Oryzias latipes: one gene and its partner. The main gene of each other region encodes a partner of the protein of the gene in region 2 in a complex. Links are inferred from orthologs where the notes say so. Each region holds a gene or a part of one and is shown on either strand. Other genes may lie near its edges.

Region 1 (5,318 bases), on a different chromosome or scaffold from region 2:
TAAACTATTATTAAAGTTCTGTCGTTTGTGAATTACAGTTACTAAAGCAAACATAATATTCTAAATAGAATCCATCGTTGAAGATCCTCTGAAGTTTTTCAGCTTTCTTACTAACTCACAACAACAACAACCCTGTTGATGCTCTCTCCTTTCTTGTGTACCGGTAGTCTTTAAGGGCTCCTATGTACAGATCCGGACTCAGAAAGTGTTCATTGTAAAATCAGGATGCGATGAATGCTTACTGAAAAAACTGATAATAATAATAAAGTAGTCACCGAACTACTCCATTGACATTTAACTAATAACTCTATGAGATGTTTCAGTCTGGATTCCGTCCCAGTCACAGTACTAAGACTGCACTCACCAAAACCACCAACGACCTCCTCCTCACAGCGGACTCTGTATTACTCTCTCATCCTTCTCGACCTCAGCGCAGCATTTCATGCCATCTCCCACTCCATCCTGTTACGGAGACGGAAACTATTACTGGTTTCAATCCTACCTCGCTGGTAGTTTATACAACTTTCCTCTTCTCGGTCCCACCCCTCCCCTGTAACCTCTGGCATTCCCCAAGGCTCTGTCCTTGGCCCCCTTATTTTCATAATCTGCCTCCTACCTCTTGGATCTTCTGTGATTTCAATATCTAAGTCTACTGCTATGCCGACGACACTCGACTCTATTTATAAACCACACCAAACTCCACCCTCCACCCCCACGTGCCTCTTATCCTGAAATCCTGGGTCTCCTCCAATTCACTTGAACTCAATTGTAATAAAAACTAAGGTTATTCTAGTCTGCACAAAATTCATCCTCTCCAAGGTCAACAGCTTCACACTCACCATAAGTAAGTCATCAGTCCCCTCCTCCCCCCCAAGTGAAGAGCCTGACGTCATTTTGGCCAGCTCCCTCTCATTCCACGCCCACATCAACAACATCATCTGGACTGCATATTATCTTCTCAGAAACATCAACCGTCTTGGTCCCTCTCTCCCATCTTATGCTGCCTCCACCCTTGTCCATAGTCTCGTCACCAGCCTTATCGACTTTTTGTAACTCCCTGCTCTGTGGCCTCCCTCAAAAAACCCTTCACAAACTTCAGCTGCCCGAATCATCACTAGGACCCCCCCTGTCCACCCATATACTCCAGCAGCTGCACTGGCTGTCAGTCCACTCCAGAATCCTTGTCCAAATCCTCCTGCATGCTTTTAAAGCCAACCACGCCCCTTCACACCTGTCCAGCCTGATCCACATTGCCACACCACCCTGTAGTCCAAGATCCTCATATTGTCTTACTCTCTTCATCTGACGGCCCCCCTCCCTTGTCTCAGCACCATGGGGGGCAGAGCTTTAGGCTGTTTTGCCCCCAAACTTTGGAATTCACTACCTCCGCAATCAGAAACAGACTGTTTTTCCATTTTTCAATCAAAACTCAAAACCCATCTGTTCAAACGGTCAAACTCATCAGAATTTCACATCCCCACCTCTTTCTTAGTCCTTTTTTTATTCAATATTTATTTGTTTTGTTTTACTCACTTGTACAGTGTCCTTGAGAGTTCTGAAAGGCACTTTATATAGAATGTATTATTATTATTTTTAAAAACCAAGCATTCCCATGTTCTATTCCTCTAAATTCTGGAAAAGAAAAAAGCTGTCTTGATATCTATGCTAAGATTTACTCACTTTTCTGGGGATTTTTATTTCCTCTGGATTTTTTGTCTGCTGTGGAATTTTGTTGGCATTATTCCATTTCACCATATAATTTCTTTAATTATTGTGTAAAATGTGTCACTTTGGTTAACAGCAGTTGCTTGCTTTGAAATAACGATTTTGTGTTTCTTCAAAATGCTTTTGAAGCCATGTGTTTTGTTTCAGGTGGATGCTGTGAAGGACTTAATGCTTCGTTTCGTGGGCGAGCAAGCAGCAATGAAGCGTCAGGTCCTCACCGCCAGCTCTGTGGAGCAGTCCTTCAATGGCCTCAAACAGCTCGTTGTAAGGCTCCCTTTAGCTTTTTACCGATCTTACAATATTCACTCTTAAAATAACTATAGCTGGAGAAAAAAAGGTTCTTTCAAACAGGATATGTATATTTTGTATACAGTTACACTCCACTTAGTTTGCGTAAGAGCCTGTTTGCTTTTTATAATTGTTTTAAGTTACCTTAGCATTTAATCAAACTGTAAAATAAAAAAACTGCCCCAACATTTAGGGGGATTAACACATTGGTCAAAAAGCTTTGCCTCAAATTTTAGTGTAGGCTCAGACCAATGTTTTTCAGTGTTTTTTTGAGCCAAGGTAGACTTTTTCCTTGACAAAACTCAAAGCAGCAACAAAAAATGTTCCAAAAGAGAAACTCCGTATTCATGATGTACTAGTCCCTCCAGAATTTTGTGTGCAATTTTTGTTATAGTTGTGGTACAAAAAGCTTGAATTTGTGTTTGTTTTTCTTAGAAGTAGCAAAAAATCTCAGTTAGTAATTGTTTTTTTTATAGTTTTTTTTTTTTAACTTTACGTGAGTCGAGTAGTGGAATCGTTTCTGCGAAGCCTGTAGGTACCACAACCATTCGGCCTGCAACAACTGTTCGGGGTCTTTTGACTAATGCAGACGTCACATTATGTGATTGGCTGTCCGGTGGTCCGATGACGTGTCAGATAGTGATTGGACTGGACAAATTACGATACTACCATAGAAGAAGATATTATGCAGTCTGTTGTAAACAAACAGAGCTCCGAAATGGAGCGAGATTATCTTTTAAATGTGCTTTTATTATTGTTACGATTATTATTAAGTGCAGACGAACGGACTGCAGTCCGAACCCTCCTCCGGACCGCACTCTATAACAAAGCACCTTCTCTGCCTGCGAACACGAAGCTACGAGACTCCAGCTGCTCTGATCAGAGACATGGTGACGTGAAATGAAAACGTGTAGAACCCGAGCAGATCTCCACGCTACGTGGTTTCTCCAAGTGGGGCTACCGTAGTGTGACGTTATCCTTAGTCCAAAGGACCCCGAACGGTTATTGCAGGCCAAATGGTTATGGGACCTACAACGTATCCAGGCTTGCTTAATTTAGGGGAGGCGCCAAAAATGATGGCGTCTGAAGCTTTACGAAAGCCATGTGATTGATTCATGGAGTGGTTCACATTGTCCTGCGATTTTTCGCTGCGGCATGAATCCCTCAGGCGCCTTTCAAAATGTTAATGCAAAGTCAGTGAGAGTTAGGAGAAGAAACTGTGATATTTAAATAAAACCATTGTATCCCCTAAACAATAACCCCTAACCTTATCTCAGTGTTAAAAAAGCATAATCATTATCCACAGTGGTCCTTCATTTAGCGCAGGAGTTGCGTTCTAAAAATAACCCATGATAGACAATATCTGCAAATATTTCATCTTTAATTTTTTACTATTATTACAGACATTTTAAGGCTGTAAAACTCCTCACTACACACTTTATCCTCTTTTCTCAGACAGACATGAACATTTTCACACTTTTCTCTCAAAGTTCTAACCTTCAAGAAGTCCAGAAGACACGGCACGGATGAGATTGATTGACAAAATCTACAGCCAATCAGGATGCAGAACACAGGTTCTGTAAGAAAGAACAATTTTATATAGTGATATGACATTTGGTATCGAGGCTTCACAGCATGTGCCGAGTAGGGGAGAGGAAAGGGGGGGGTTTCATGATGTTGATGATTTCTGAAGCCTTGCTGCCCACTGTACCATGTGACTGATTCATGAACTGGTTCAGATTCTGCCGTGAGTTTTGACAACGATATGAATCCCTTCAGTCTTTGAGAAATAATGAAATAAAGCACTTAAGCACATTTATGCGCTCTCCTTCCCCCTGTGATACTGATTTGTCACACCTAGATGTCATAGGAAAAAATAGCCTTTTTTTTTCTTTTCTTTTTGTAATACAGGTTCGAGCCCCTTTTAGGGACCAACCCAGACTCACACACAACCCCCTTAATTTCCAAATGTTCCTTTGTGATTCAGTAAAAATACTTTATAAATTCACTTGTTTATTTATTTCAAACAATATAAATAAACACACACAAAGAAAATATTCGGCAGTGTACTCAACTCAACTCAACTTTATTTATATAGCACTTTCATACAACAGTAGTTGAGACAAAGTGCTGAACACAATAGTAAAAAACATTAAAACATGTTAAGGGGGGGGAAACACAGAGGGAGATAAAACTATAGAAAACAGTAAACAGTTAGAAAAACAGTGGTCTCATATTGGGCTAAAAGCCAAGGCATAAAAATGGGTTTTTAAACGGGTTTTAAAAATGGACAGTGAAGGGGCTTCTCTAATGGCCAGCGGCAAAGTATTCCACAGCTTTGGAGCGGCTACAGCAAAAGCTCTGTCCCCTCTGAGCTTCCGTCTGGACCTCGGTACCTCTAAAAGCATCTGATCAGCTGATCTGAGGCACCGTGCCGGCGAAAAGGGAGTGAGAAGCTCAGAGAGGTACAGCGGGGCAAGACCGTGTAAAGATTTAAAAACAAGCAGAAGAATCTTAAAATGAATTCTAAAATGCACAGGCAGCCAGTGAAGCGATGCTAGGATCGGCGTGATGTGGTCTCTCTTGCATGCTCCAACCATAAGACGAGCAGCTGCATTTTGAACACGTTGGAGATGCAAAAGAGACGACTGGCTGGGTCCAAGATAAATAGAGTTGCAGTAATCCAGCTGGGACGTGATGAAAGCATGGATTACTGTTTCAAATTGTGCAGGTGTTAAAAAAGGTTTTACCTTAGCAAGTTGACGAAGGCTTAAAAAGCTTAACTTCATTACAGAGCTTATCTGTTGGTCCATCCTAAAATTACTCTCCAATTTAACACCCAACTTAGAAACAGTTGTAGTGTACAAAACAAACAGTGTACATGTTTTGTAAACGTCTTTATTGTGTGGACATGTTAATTCACAGCCTTTCCGCAGAACACCACACTTCAAATTCAAGTGATATTGTTGTGTCCAGTAGATGTTGTACTACAGCAAATGACGTTTCAAGAAACACTGCATGAAAGGCTTCAATGCTTCATGAAGCTTCATCTGCCAATCACTACCAAATGGGTAATTTCATTATAGCCTTTTATTGTGGCCAGTCTAGGTACAGCTGTGAAACAATCAATCTGTCTAGTCAGCATCTTGATATGGTACACCTGTGAGGTGGGTTGGAAAACCTCAGCAAAGGAGAAGTGGTCACTATCGCAGATGGAGACACATTTGTGAACAATATTTGATAGAAAATGGTTATTTTGTGTTTGTAGAAAATGTGAGTTCATCTCATGATAAATGGGAGCAGAA
Region 2 (5,318 bases):
GTCAGTAACTGTATCCTTATGAGTAGATGTAATATTTTTATTGATTAAAACAGCAACTCCTCTTTGTTTGGAGTTGTAACTAGCAGAATACATGAATGGAAATTGTGAGCAGCACAGGAGATGATCAGACTATTTAGATAAGTGGGTCTCCATCAGCATAGCCTCGGTGTCCGTCCACAAACTGGTTATCCACGGCGACCACCGCTCGGCAGTGAGGTTTTTCCTCCTCAGTGGAAAAAGGATCTTCCTTCGGCGCTGAAAACTGGTCGATAGCACTGAAGTGTTAACACTGAACTGAATGTGTGCATCTATGACAAAAAACAATGTGTTTGCACATTTTCTTTCCGCGGTAGAACTGTGAAACACAGTAAAGTTTTCCACTGCAGAATCAGAGAGCATTTGTTTTTACTTATTACTCAACTTCACAGAGATGATACACATTTGTACACTGACATTTTAATGTTTGTCTCATAGTAGTAAGTTATTATTGATATAAGAAACTAAGGAGTGATCCTAAACTGCCTTTGTGCAGAAAATATTTCTGACAACCCTCTCATCAGGATGAAGAACGTGATTCCGCTTATCCTACTTTGAGCTATAGTCCCATGATGCACCTGAACAGGTCCATGGAGGGTCATAGAGACTAGTGGCTGGTTCAAGGTTCAGCTTAAAGGGGGCATAGGTGTGTCTTATAGTTCCCTTGAGACTCGTCTAAAACAGAAAACACATTGTACTTGAGATGCTCTTTCGCCGTACTCTAGTCGTCAGTGAAGCATTAGTCTCTGCCCTTACAGGTGGATGTGTTTTTGTGAGAAGATGTTCTCATTTTGTGCAGCCCTACTTCCTCCCTCCACCTCAAGCGTACATTCATGAGAGTTTCTACCAACCGTTGTTTGGATCCGGAGGCTGACAGCATGATCACATGACCATAACAGGTGTTTACTGTCAGTCCAAATGTCATCAGCTGGTAATACAGTGGATCTTTGAGGGCTGTGTTCAATCCGCTCCATCTGCCATAAATCCCTCTTCCTGAATAAACTCTTGATCAACAAAGACTTGGATTTATTGTTTCTGATGGAAATGTGTCAGAAGGCTGAGGACTTTTACCGCCTGAAGGAGCTCTGCCCCCCTGGCTGTGATGTCATCAGGACTAGACAGCAACAGATATGTTTTTTCAGGGCCGATACAGACATTAGTAGTCAAGAAGGCCGATAACCGACATTTGGAGCTGATATTTGTTTGCAGTAAAAGTGGAAAAATTAGCATAAAAATTTAGAATAATACAATAACCAACAATTATCTTTATTTATAAAAAAAAAAGAATAAAAAAGGTAAATAAATGGCTCCTATAGGTGCAGGCAGTAACGGGCTCAGCAGCATCTTTGTTAAATACAAACTTCAACCTAATTTAAATGACTTTTCTTTGTGGAAACATGAAACCAAAACTAAAGTGCAGCGAGTTCCTTGGTGCTGGAGACGGAGAGCTGCATCTGAGCCATAATAACCCGTCAAAATCAGCCTGTTGGATTGAAAAAAGCTAGATGCCGACATACGTCAACAAAACAAAAACCAGCGCCAATCGGCCTGGCTGATCATCGGTCGACCCCTACTCTGGACCTTTTCTTCTAACTGCGTCATTGAGGCCATAGCTGTGTGATGTTTAACATCATCTTCTCTTTTAAAGACGATCATTAATAAGGATGTCATTGATCACTTTACTGCTTCTTGATCCACAGTTAGTGATAGAGGATGCCCAACACCGGCGTTTCCTCAAAATGCCAAATATCAGCCAGTTTATGGGTCAACCCCTAGTTTGCTGTTTCAGGAACCAAAGCTGCTTATGAATGTGTGCATGTGATAAATGGGGGGGGTTAGGGAAGAGCACCACACCTTAGGCCTGCACAATTAATCGCAAATGTATCGTTATCGCTTGTGCTAAAACCATCTCCATGGCAACTTGAATTATTTAATGAGTGGAATAAATCCCTTTATGCATTTAACCAATCAGATTGAGCCTTTCACGTTGTTGACCAATCGGATGGAGCTTTTATGTTAGATGTTGCCCTCTTAATTAGACGAAGTTCATTTGGAGAATAATTTAAGGTATTTTGACCCTTATTTAAATTATACTTTGCAGTAAAATGGAAACGTTTTTGTTGTTTTTGCTACTTGTCCATTTATCGCTAGCTATATCGTCATCACAATATTGATCATTATTAGTCAAGTCAAAGTAAACTTTATTGTCAATCTCTATAATGTTTTTGCATACATAGAAATTAAAATTCTGTTTCTCTTCAAACTCCTGTTTAAATGGGGAATCAAACTTCAAATATTGCGAGTTTTCCTTAAATCGGGCAGCTCTACCACACCTGCATTTACGCAGGTGTGGTAGAGGATGCCATGGAGCCTTTGTTTTTAGAAATCTGAATGTTTTCATATGCCAGTGCTGTTTACTTCATTTTGCACTCTGAAACCCACACACTGTTTCAGTAATGAAGCTCTCAGACTCAGACCCTCACCAATATAATATTCCTGTCTCAAGGTGCCTTGCCTTTGAGGTTAAAAAGCACTGGCTGATCATGTTCTTCACAATGATCAGGTTTGTTCTTAATTTCAGGGCTGAGACCGTTTATGAGGACATGAAGCAGAGGTATGGCTCTCAAGGGTGCTACCTGCTTAAGATCAACTCACGTGCCGTCTCTGCTGAAGAGGACGAACAGATTCCAGATCCCTGGAGTCAATACCTGCACAAGAACAACCTACGTTACCAGGTAAGCTTGGTTATCGGTTCGCTTTCACTGAGACCTTCAGCTAGGATCAGCATTCAGAGCCTGTCTGGTTCCTAAACGATGCTTGCAGTCCAACATGCAGCCGACCGTGAGGACCTGGGACCGAGCAGAGCCTCACGACTGTCAACGTTTCTGCTGAATTACCTTTTATCTGAAAGTGAAGAACAATGGACATGCCCAGGCGTTAACATCACCTCCTGCGTTTCAGGACCCAGCTGATGGAGCTCCAGCTGCTGAGAAAGGGGGTGACGAAGAAGGTGGGACCTTCACACAAACGAGTGAGACAAATGATGGGTTGCATTGTGTTTATCAGCTGAATTATTTCATTTTAGTTGTCTAAACATCCCTGTGGGATTGGTTTCTATCTCTGCTCTCATGCACTATTTTCTGTGGTGCACATATGAGCACACGGTGGACTGAGGGCGCACACTTGTGGTTTTTAGCCTCAAAAGCCATATGTGCATGTATAAACACACGTCAGTCAAATGTGTATTTAAAGTCCCCCTCTGATGAAAATCCTGTTTTTTTTAATTGTTTTGCCTTTTGCGTGTGGCATTTTCATTATGAAAGCGTTCAGATAGAAAAACATTTCATTTTTGCATTTTTGAGTATTTCTCCTTTTAAATGGCTGTCAATCAAACTGTGTTAAAGATGTGATGTCACAGCAGCCCAGGAGCATATTGCACAACCTTCCTGATCTGCCCATCCAGTGTGGACACACTCAGGTGTGATTTTGTTGTTGACGCACGTGTTTAGAATGAAAGTTCAAGTTCCAAATGTGTTCTCCACATTTGTGTCTCTCTGACCGAGGTTGAAGGCTTACTGTCCCGCATTAACCAGAGAGGGTAAAAATGAAAACCAGAATAAAATCAGGGGATCTTTTTTATGAATATAAGACAAATATCCTAAAGTTCAGGAGACCCGAGCAGGCTGGCTCCCCATCCTGCAGCGGCTCTCTGTCGCCTCCCTGGAGCCGGCGTAGTGATCGGGATCGGTGTTCCCGTCCCGGCTACTGTTGGGCGATTTTGTTCAGACGGGAACCAAACCCGCTGCTACCAGACCTTTGTGCCGCCCCCATCGCTCAGATGGCGTCCGTACCGTTGACCTAACACTGAAACTGGCCGCCTCTGCTGCGCCAATCGCGTTGGGTGTGAACGCAGCTTAACCCTAACCCGTAATCCTAAACATAACCCTTCCTCCGGTTCAGCGCTAAGCACAAAGGTATTTGGAAAATCAGGTGCGAATAGTCACTTTGTTTCTGGCATTTCATTTTATTTGCTGCTCAAATAAATGTGATGATCTGCATGTGCTAGCATCACATCGGTCCTGAGCCACAGTCAGTGCTGTTGCTGCTGCAATGGAACCTAAATTCTATTGTCATTCAAAACATTTTTCATAGGTTTATCAAAGTTCTTTTTGGTGTCATTTTATTAAATGTCTGGTTCACACATTCGTTTTGTCGTTCTGTTCAAAAGTGTCCATTTGGAACCAAAAATTTCACTATTCACGAAGGAGAAGCTTTGGAGAATAGAGACTGTCAGTCGGTGTCGTTGGTGCCCCCCCCCCCCGGTGTCAAAGTCTTCACTCATGCCAGACACAGTTTGCAGAAAGGAGGGGATCGAGGGCGGAGCTCAGCAGCAATGGCCACACCCATGTAGAGGAGATTTTGGAAACAGATGCTTCAGATGATCATGAAGTATGGCTTTAAGACATTTAGGTTGTGGGATTTTGGTTAAAAAACCTTAGAATCAATTAAACTTCCGTAGCTCAGTTTGTAAGGTGAAGGAGTGGCACACAGGAATCCAGGGATCGATTCTCAGGGGCAATGAACAAGCAAGCAATGGTTATAGGGCAATTACCATATTAATGGTGAGCAATTAACATCGACCAGTGAGGGCCCTTGGGCAAGACCCTTAAGGGTACTGCTTCCCTAAGAATGTGCAGGAATGTCCTGGTGCTGGTCAGAGGGGCCGTAGGCGTGAACTGGCAGCCACGCCTTTTTCAGTCTGGCTACATCAGTAGCTACCATCACTAAGTATGAAGGAGGACTGAATGAATGATGGACACACTGTAAGCGCTTTGCGTCTGGAAAGCGCAGATAAATCTAATCCATTATTATCATGTGAATGTATATATTTTAACAAATGGTCATAGTGGAGTAAGAACATTTTGGTGTGTTTCTGAAGGGGGGGGCGAGTCCGGCTGCCTGAACAACGATCCTCTGCAGCTTGAGGCAGACAGCAGTTCGACAAGTCTGACCGATGCAGACGTGATGAAAGCGAGAACAGACACGGAGGGTGTGGCGCCCGTGGCAGTGGGCCGTGGATCATGCCTCACTTTGAATGACCACGACCGCATCAGGCAGTTTGTCCAGGAGTTCACCTTCAGGGGTCTGCTACCACACATCGAGAAGAACATCAGACAGCTCAACGACCAGGTAGGTGTTCCTGGGGGCGTGTCAGGCAGCTTCCAGCTCAGTTCTGATGCCAGCAGAGCTCCTCCCTCCACCTGCATGCAGCTTTGTGACTT

The links.
Region 1: trappc8 (region 2) and trappc12 share a complex: the UniProt entries of both Homo sapiens proteins name them as parts of the multisubunit TRAPP (transport protein particle) complex. The link is inferred for Oryzias latipes from reciprocal best matches to the Homo sapiens genes TRAPPC8 and TRAPPC12.

Annotation. Positions count from the first base shown.
Region 1 is NC_019880.2:20,761,011-20,766,328, forward strand, and holds part of trappc12 (trafficking protein particle complex subunit 12), read left to right. Parts: intron 1-1,872; coding exon 1,873-1,989; intron 1,990-5,318. UniProt on the Homo sapiens protein: Component of the TRAPP complex, which is involved in endoplasmic reticulum to Golgi apparatus trafficking at a very early stage.
Region 2 is NC_019862.2:1,523,712-1,529,029, forward strand, and holds part of trappc8 (trafficking protein particle complex subunit 8), read left to right. Parts: intron 1-2,617; coding exon 2,618-2,771; intron 2,772-2,997; coding exon 2,998-3,067; intron 3,068-4,975; coding exon 4,976-5,226; intron 5,227-5,318. UniProt on the Homo sapiens protein: Plays a role in endoplasmic reticulum to Golgi apparatus trafficking at a very early stage. Maintains together with TBC1D14 the cycling pool of ATG9 required for initiation of autophagy. Involved in collagen secretion.